2 linked regions of the Danio rerio genome follow. The protein of the gene in region 1 purifies or fractionates together with the protein of each later gene. This does not show direct contact. Links are inferred from orthologs where the notes say so. Each region holds a gene or a part of one and is shown on either strand. Other genes may lie near its edges. The genes, in order: faf2 and nploc4.

What was found.
Region 2: the proteins of faf2 (region 1) and nploc4 purify together in Homo sapiens (affinity purification with mass spectrometry; 3 studies listed by BioGRID and IntAct, with this or other methods). This does not show direct contact. The link is inferred for Danio rerio from reciprocal best matches to the Homo sapiens genes FAF2 and NPLOC4.

Annotation. Positions count from the first base shown.
Region 1 is NC_133189.1:56,130,705-56,134,534, forward strand, and holds part of faf2 (FAS-associated factor 2), read right to left. Parts: intron 2,586-3,830; coding exon 2,442-2,585; intron 1-2,441. UniProt on the Homo sapiens protein: Plays an important role in endoplasmic reticulum-associated degradation (ERAD) that mediates ubiquitin-dependent degradation of misfolded endoplasmic reticulum proteins.
Region 2 is NC_133187.1:37,899,538-37,904,011, reverse strand, and holds the start of nploc4 (nuclear protein localization protein 4 homolog), read left to right. Parts: upstream 1-1,494; 5' UTR 1,495-1,653; coding exon 1,654-1,668; intron 1,669-2,808; coding exon 2,809-2,889; intron 2,890-4,474. UniProt on the Homo sapiens protein: The ternary complex containing UFD1, VCP and NPLOC4 binds ubiquitinated proteins and is necessary for the export of misfolded proteins from the ER to the cytoplasm, where they are degraded by the proteasome.

The sequences.
Region 1 (3,830 bases):
GGCTGACCTGTCAAACTGAGGGCAAACTACAAAACATTGCTTCATTTTTTTAGTCGTGGTGTACCCTCATAAATGTCTGCGTCCAAGACGTTAGAAACAAATGTTTTCTTTAAGTATCATCACTTGATGTTGCCGCCATGTTGCCGTCTCTTCGCTGTACTGGTTGTTCCGAAAAAAATAACTTGGTCACAACATCCAATCAGACAAGAGGAACCGAGAAGGTAGCATTTGAAGGCTTAAAAACACAAACTGCTACTCGATTCTGACTGTTTTTGCACGCAATTGACAAATATTCACAGCCAAATGAAACTTTAATGACAGGGTATCAGTGGCCCGATCGGGCTGTCCCGAGCATCTCACACGCTGGCCCTGATAGTTATAACACATTCAGTTACAATGAAAACTGTGTTTTTCTGCAGTAGCCTAAATAAATCCTAAACATTAGAAATCAGGGCTCAACAATAAGGACTGCCCGGTGGCCCGGGGCCAGCGTGAAAGATGCTTGGGACAGTAGACCGGATAGTTACTGGCCCCTATCGGCCAGTAACGGTGAGCATGCAATTTTTTCGTAACATGGTAACAACAATTACAGCGAAAAGATGGCAACATCTAACAATGAGGCTAAAAGAAAACGTCAGTTTCTAAAGTCTTGGAAGCAGACAATTACATGGGTACAAAATTAAGAAACTGGAGAAAAAAAACAAATAAATAACAGTTTTGTCGGTTTGGCAAGCCATTTTTATAAAAATAATTTAGAATTGCACTAAAATACCAGCACATTTTTCATACTGCTCTTTCGTTTGCATAAAATCCAACTAATTCTGTTCATTATACATTTATTAACATTTTTTAACTGTTTAAATTCTAGATTCATAGACATTATTTTGCCCCATTATTTAAAATACGTGGATAAGAAATAGCTGTATACCTTTTTTTTTTTAGTGGGGCCAGTGAAAATTTTGTCAGGGCAAGTAAAAACCTCAACCACTGGCCCAATTGGCCCAGTATAAAAAATCCTTAGCGTTGAAACCTGGAAATGCTTTTACATTACTGTATTTACAAATATAGCCTATTAATAGCTTAATAATAAACTATGCTTGATAAAACAAATGCTTATTTTTACATTGCAAGATGCTCCAACACTGTATTAAAACACCGTTAACTCATAATGTGAATGTGTTCATGAAAAATCATCTACATTATCTCATTTAACTGCATTTTGCAACTTAGAGAGGATATGTTCAACTGCAGGGAGCACAATAAACCAACAAAGATCTTCAGACTTCTGCTAGAAAAGGCAAACATGTTGATTTTTATCACGAAGAATGGTTAAAAACTGAAAGTCAGCGTCCTTCACGACATTGTACATTCTTTTACAGAAAAAAATATATATTTATTTGTTTTACACTTATTGGTTTCGTTTTATTTTACATTAAAAACTTAATAATAAAATAAAGTGTGGTTAATTCTGTTCAATTTGTTGTTTTTTTCCATAAAGAAACATTTAAAAAAGTACAGTTAAGAGAACATTGAAGTACCGAACCAATTAGTGGCATCGATAAAAGTAGTAATACTGTTAAAACCTTAACGATACCCATCCCTAGTCGCTGCGATGTGGTTACACTTTTTGAGAGGTGCGAGTCACCATCTTAATAATGACTTCAAACCACACTTAACTGAGCTGAACTTAAACACTAAAAACTGAACTACACTGTTCCAGTTACTATGACCATTTATGTGAAGCTGCTTTGACACAATCTACATTGTAAAAGCGCTATACAAATAAAGCTGAATTGAAAATTAAATACCAATCAGCCTTTAGCATATGTAGAGAAAATGCATGTGTGCAGTCATTTCAGCATCATCGCCCCTCGCACTTCCCTGTTGATGTATTCCATAATTACTTCTCTCTCTCGTATTTAACTTTTAAAAATGTTCACACATCATCGTCTACCCAAACATACCCGTCACTTTCCACCATTTTTATTATCACATGATCTGTTGAAGCAAATTTACATGACTTTTTTGATGCACATGCTGGAATTTATTCGGTAAATGGGTTTTCATCATAGATTATGTGCATCTTTTTATCAGATAAAAAGTTTACCCAACTCTTTTCAAAATTTAGGCACATATTAGCATTTCCATCCAGGGTTTTTTCTCATGCAATATCCCAAAAGGTGCATAAAAACAGGTGGATGGAAACACAGCAAATGATTGATGACATGCTCTAAATATTGGGTTGTATGCTCAAAACAAACATATGGTATGTAACACTGCATATAATACAAAAAGGACTGGGCTATTGTGTATAAAACAGCGAAACAGAGAGTCTGCTGAGGCCGTTTCTTATCTCGGACCGCAGACATTGCTATGGTTGTGTTATGAACTCAACAGTGTACGAGTGATGAGATGAAGCAGCAGATTTAAAGTCTGTTTACCGTCAGAGACTGGCCGAAGAGGAATCTCCGCTCCACTCGAGTGTCGTTGGGTAGTCTGAACACTATTTTAACTCCGTCTGGGTCGTCTACGGGTGGCTCGGCGGGGAGACACTCAGACCTGCGCTCCTTCTCCTCCTCCAGAGTCTATATCACACACATTAGGAATCATTAAGCATGATTAATGTAGACGTCAGAAATCTGTCCACCAGCTAGTAGTTAACATTTCAGGTGAGTCAAAACCTTTCATCAAAGTCGTCCTATTCAACAACACCCATTCTTGTCTTAGTGGACTTTTTTAGATCCACTTTAAATGTTGACTACTGTATTACTTGTGCATAGACACAAGTGTTAAAGACTTGTTTACTTTTTTTGTAAACGGACTCATTTTAGAGCTCTTCTAGAGGTAAACAGGTAAGTTTTACCATTTTTGTATGCATTCAGTATATGCACTTTTAGCTTAGCTTAGCATAGATCATTGAATCGGATAAGACCATTAGCATCTCTCTCAAAAATGACCAAAGAGTTTCAATAATTTTCCTATTTAAAGCTTTGTGCAATGATATTATGCAGTGGCTGAAAGCTATTTTCAGGCGTTTTGTAATGTCATTGCACTGCTGCAGCCGTGGTACGACAGCAAATTTCTGTTTATTGTTATTATTATTTTACTATATAATGAAAGTATAGCTCCTAGCTATATCTCCCTAGAAAATAGCAACTTTAGTTTCCTGTCAATCTTAGTACATGATATGACTACAGAAGAGTCAAACAAGAGTGAGATGCTAACGGTCTAATCTGATTCAATGATCTATGCTAAGCTAAGCTAAACGTGCTCTTAGAGATTCGTACGATTCATACCACTGAAGACACATGGAGTATTTAGACAATGCTTTTGGTTCCTTTTCTGGACTTTAAACATCTTGAGACCCTTGCTGTCTATGGAGGATGAGGAAGCTCTCAGATCTCATCTACAATATCTGTATCATGTGTTCTGAATACGAACAAAAGACTCAGGGGATGTCATGAGAATAAGTAATTAGTAACACTCTGAGTTTTTGGAATCCTTTCATTTTGATTAAGCATTTGTTTGTTTGTTTACTTGTTTATTTATTGTCACATCAGCAACTTATGACTATATCATTATTGCAATGTGTAAATTTGCCATAGTCACATCGCAGGACGTGCAATGTGGAGTCAGGATTATAGTTAAGGAGGTAGTTAAATAACAGTTGAGATAAGAAATATTGGAGTCATTTTGGTTGAACCATAATAAAGTGAATGTTCAACAATTGCTTGAGTTTTTAAGGCATGTTTAAACATTTTAAAGCACCGGGAATGATTATGTGTGTAGCTTTAACCCCTAAAGATCTAGAGGTATTTTGTGGGCACCTA
Region 2 (4,474 bases), on another chromosome or scaffold:
AGACTTACTCCCTTGCCTTTGAGTGACTCATACATGTATTTCTTATCTGCATTTTAGTATAAAATATATACATATTTATTTCCTTTTCTTACATTTTTAATACAAGTTTTATTTTATTTTATTTTCTTAAATATTTTATCTCATTGTAAAGCACTTTGGATCAACTACGGTTGTATTAAATTGTGCTCTATAAATAAAGTTTGGCTTGCCTTGCCTTAAAATGGCTTAACTTGAAGTGCTGTAAAAAACAAAATTGGAAAAAGTTTATTTTTTAAGGTACTTTATGATATGTTGCAATATCATATCAACAACGTCCAACAGTGGATCTAACGTAGAAATTTAAAATTGTAAACTTTCCTTATAATTAATAGTTTTGTTGTTTAAAATTATTTTATGGCGAGGTAGTGGCGCAGTAGGTAGTGGTGCAGTCACCTCACAGCAAGAAGGTCACTGTGTCACTGATTCAAACCACGGCTCAGTTGGCGTTTCTGTGTGGAGTTTGAATGTTCTCCCTGCCTTCGCGTGGGTTTCTTCCGGGTGCTCCGGTTTCCCCCACAGTCCAAAGACATGCGGTACAGGTGAATTGGGTAGGCTAAAATGTCTGTAGTGTATGAGTGTGTGTGTGAATCTGTGTGTGCATGATTCCCAGAGATGGGTTGCGGCTGGAAGGGCATCCGCTGCGTAAAAACTTGCTGGATAAGTTGGCGGTTCATTCCGCTGTGGCGACCCCGGATTAATAAAGGGACTAAGCCAACAAGAAAATGAATGAATAATTATTTAATTAGTGTTGCAGTATTATAAGCTTTAACACAGAACTTATGAATGACACCTTATACACACTTTCCAACAACTCATATTAAAACTGCTTTCATTTATTCCATTCTTTTTTGCTGAATATTATTAAAAACAAAACACATATTGTTTTATCAATATTATACATAATCAATATTATGTACACAACATACAGTACATATAAATGTATTCTCCAGTAAATATAACAAATAAATAACAAGTCTATTATATCCAGATGCATCAGAATAATGTAGCTATCTAACATTATGTATAAATTATACTATATACTACACTATGCTTGTCCTATCTGCCTCTGGGCTAACTTACCTGAACTGTCTCTATCAAATGTCCAGTTTGCATCATTCTCATTGTCACTAAAACCCATCTCATCCTCACGTTCATCTGCAGTAAGAGCCAGTTATGTCCTTTTCTTCTTTCACTTACCATAGAACATGGTGGTCCTTACTAATACACTGTTCCCTGTATTCATATCTATTCAAAAGTAGTATTGCCAATAAAACTAGATTTTATCCAAAATGCAAATTCCATTAACATACAACTAAAACTGAATGATTATCATTCTTTGTTTCTCAAGAAAAGAGGTGTAATTCGTTATTTTAAAAAATACACTCTCGCCGTTTCTTAAAACAAATGACCATATGCAGGAACACAACATTAGTCTTGTTTCTCGCCGGTGGCTTTAATCAGGATCCCGTCATAGCCCGGACGCATATAGATGTAGCACCGGCTCTGTGAGTTTGGCATCGCTGCATAGACCCGAGCAGATCAGATAAACAGCGAAATTAAAATAAGCCAGCTCTCATTTCAGCGGCACCAGGAGGGAAGGTTCATCCCATCAACATGGCAGAAAGCATAGTAAGTGTCAGTCTGCGTGTGAATGTGGACAGTTTGACTGAAGTCTGTCATCCAGTGATGAGGCAGCAGAATTGTTAGCATTATGCTAATGATCAGACTCAAGCAGAAGCATCTAGAAACGATTCAAACTCTAATAACAACGCCTCTGTGTGTGTTAGCTACGTATTGCTCTCGTTTGATGTATGCTATTTTGCTAGGGGGTGTAATTTCTGCTGAAGTTGACTTTATTCGGCTTGGCACAAGGTGATGTAGATAAGATGTGTCAGTGTAAGTTCATCTCAACTGCTTATTAAAGTATGAACGTGCAAATTCATCTTATCTAACGTTAATAGTTCCAAAACGCCTCAGCTGACATCTTCAAAATAGGAAGAAATAGGACACTTTAAAGCTTCTCGTAGTCTTTTATCAGGGAATTAAATTGACACTGAGAAACTTATTAAAGTGTTGTGAATAGCTCTTGATCTGTTGTTTTGGTTTTGTATGAAGGGTGAAAGCACTGAGATCGGGAGTATAATATAATAAGGCATTCAATATGATGCTAGTCGTGTGGTATGTGGAGACTTTAGTGCTTGTTTATTGAGTGTCAGATGTCAATGGTTTGCCCTACAACCACCTGTTTTTTATTGAGTTAAAGTTGGTTTTATTTTTGCACATTTGGACTCCTTAATCACATAATTTCAGAAAAGTATTCTCAGCAAATTCTAAATGGTAAATCATATTAGCAGCCAATGACTATCAAAGTACAACATAGTTCATAGTCAATTAAATAGAGCTAATGTTGTTTTGAAGTCATATTTAGATAAATGCCATTTGACACCCAATATTCAAAGTAGTATAATAAACAATATCGAGATCATGTCAAGTTATGACTGTTCAAAAATAATATATATATATATGCGAATATAAAGCCAACTTAACCTTATTGTTTTATTTTTTTTATTTATTTTGGATTGTTTTGTGCTAATTATCATTCAGTTATGACAATAATGTCATAAATTACATTCTTCTAATAGTGTTTCATTTAAAGTAATTTGTTATGCATCAGTAAATCTGCACTAGATGTGTTGGTGGTTATAGGAGTGAACAGCAAGCTGTTGCAGTAACCAGAAACTTCTCTTCCTCTTGTTTATTCACTGACAGATCGTCCGTATTCAGTCCCCAGATGGAATGAAAAAAATCAGCTCTACTAAACATGAGACAGCTGCAGCTTTCCTCAAGAAGGTACAAGAAGGGAATTATTATTTTGTTTTTTGTTTTTTTTTTTTTCAAATTTTTATGGAACTAAAATAACAGCTCTTATCTCATCTAAAGACACTGTAGGATCCCTTTCTCTCTCTGTGTAAATATCATTATTCATTATTATTATCATTATTATTAGCCCCCCTTTGAATTTTCTTTTCTTGTTTAAATATTTCCTAAATGATGTTTAACAGAGCAAGGACATTTTCACAGTATGTCTAATAATATTTTTTCCTCTGGAGAAATCTTATGCGTTTTATTTTGGCTAGAATAAAATCAGTTTTTAATTTTTAAAAACCATTGTAAAGTTAAAATTATTACCCCCTTTAAGCTATATGTTTTTTTCGATAGTCTACAGAACAAACCATCGTTATACAATAACTTGCCTAATTACCCTAACCTGCCTAGTTAACCTAATTATCCTAGTTAAGCCTTTAAATGCCACTTTAAGCTGTATAGAAGTGTGTTGAAAAACATCTAGTAAAATATTATTTACTGTCATCATGGCAAAGATAAAATATTTCAGTTATTAGAAATAAGTTATTAAAACTATTATGTTTAGAAATGTGTTGAAAAAATTATCTCTGTTAAACAGAAGTTAGGGGAAAAAATAAACGGGCTAATAATTCAAGGGGGGCTAATAATTTTAAATTCAGCTGTATATATTTATAAAAAATCAATCACATCTTTTAAATGATGCTATTAATCAGTTCAGCATGTTTAACATTATTCATAATCATAATACAGTGTAATTAATAAAGAATACCACAACTTTGAAAATATGTATTTAATCACGGAAACATGATGGAGCCTTGCTTAATTAATCAATGAATATGTGTGAAGAGTACTTAACTAAGTTTTTTTCCAGTAGAAACCAAGTTCATAGATGTTCACATCAACCCAAAAGTTCTGGTATTATTTTGAAACACCCTGTATATTGATAAATAATTGATATTAAATGACACAAATTGGCATATTGGAGTAATTTCTAAAGGATATTACACTATAATCCCATGAATATTAGATTCTGTTGCTATCTTTTAAGTTTAAAGCATAAAAAATGAAAGTGGGTGTAAAGACGTTTAACAGTAAGTGTAAAAATAAATGAAACATTTAAATAATAATAATACAAATATATATATATATATATATATATATATATATATATATATATATATATATATATATATATAATAGATTAGTTACACTGAGATTCTATCACAAAAAAATAATAAAGTAAATAACAAACAACATATATGAAAATTTACACAAGACTATGTTTATGACAGGGAGAACAGCAAATTACAGCCTAAAAAGGTATTTTTTTAGAACTTTTTTACTTTTTTCCTTTAAATTGTAATAATATTTCACAGCATTACTGTTTCTACTGTAAAAATAATGCAGCCATCCAGATACAGACCCCAAACATAATTACATTTTACATTTATATAATATATGTGTTCAAAAAATGAAATAATGCGTTAATCAACTAGCCTTTGTAGACAAGCAGGTTATGTGTCAGCAACTCTCTCTTTGCTACTCTCACATGGTCACCCACTGAAGCTAA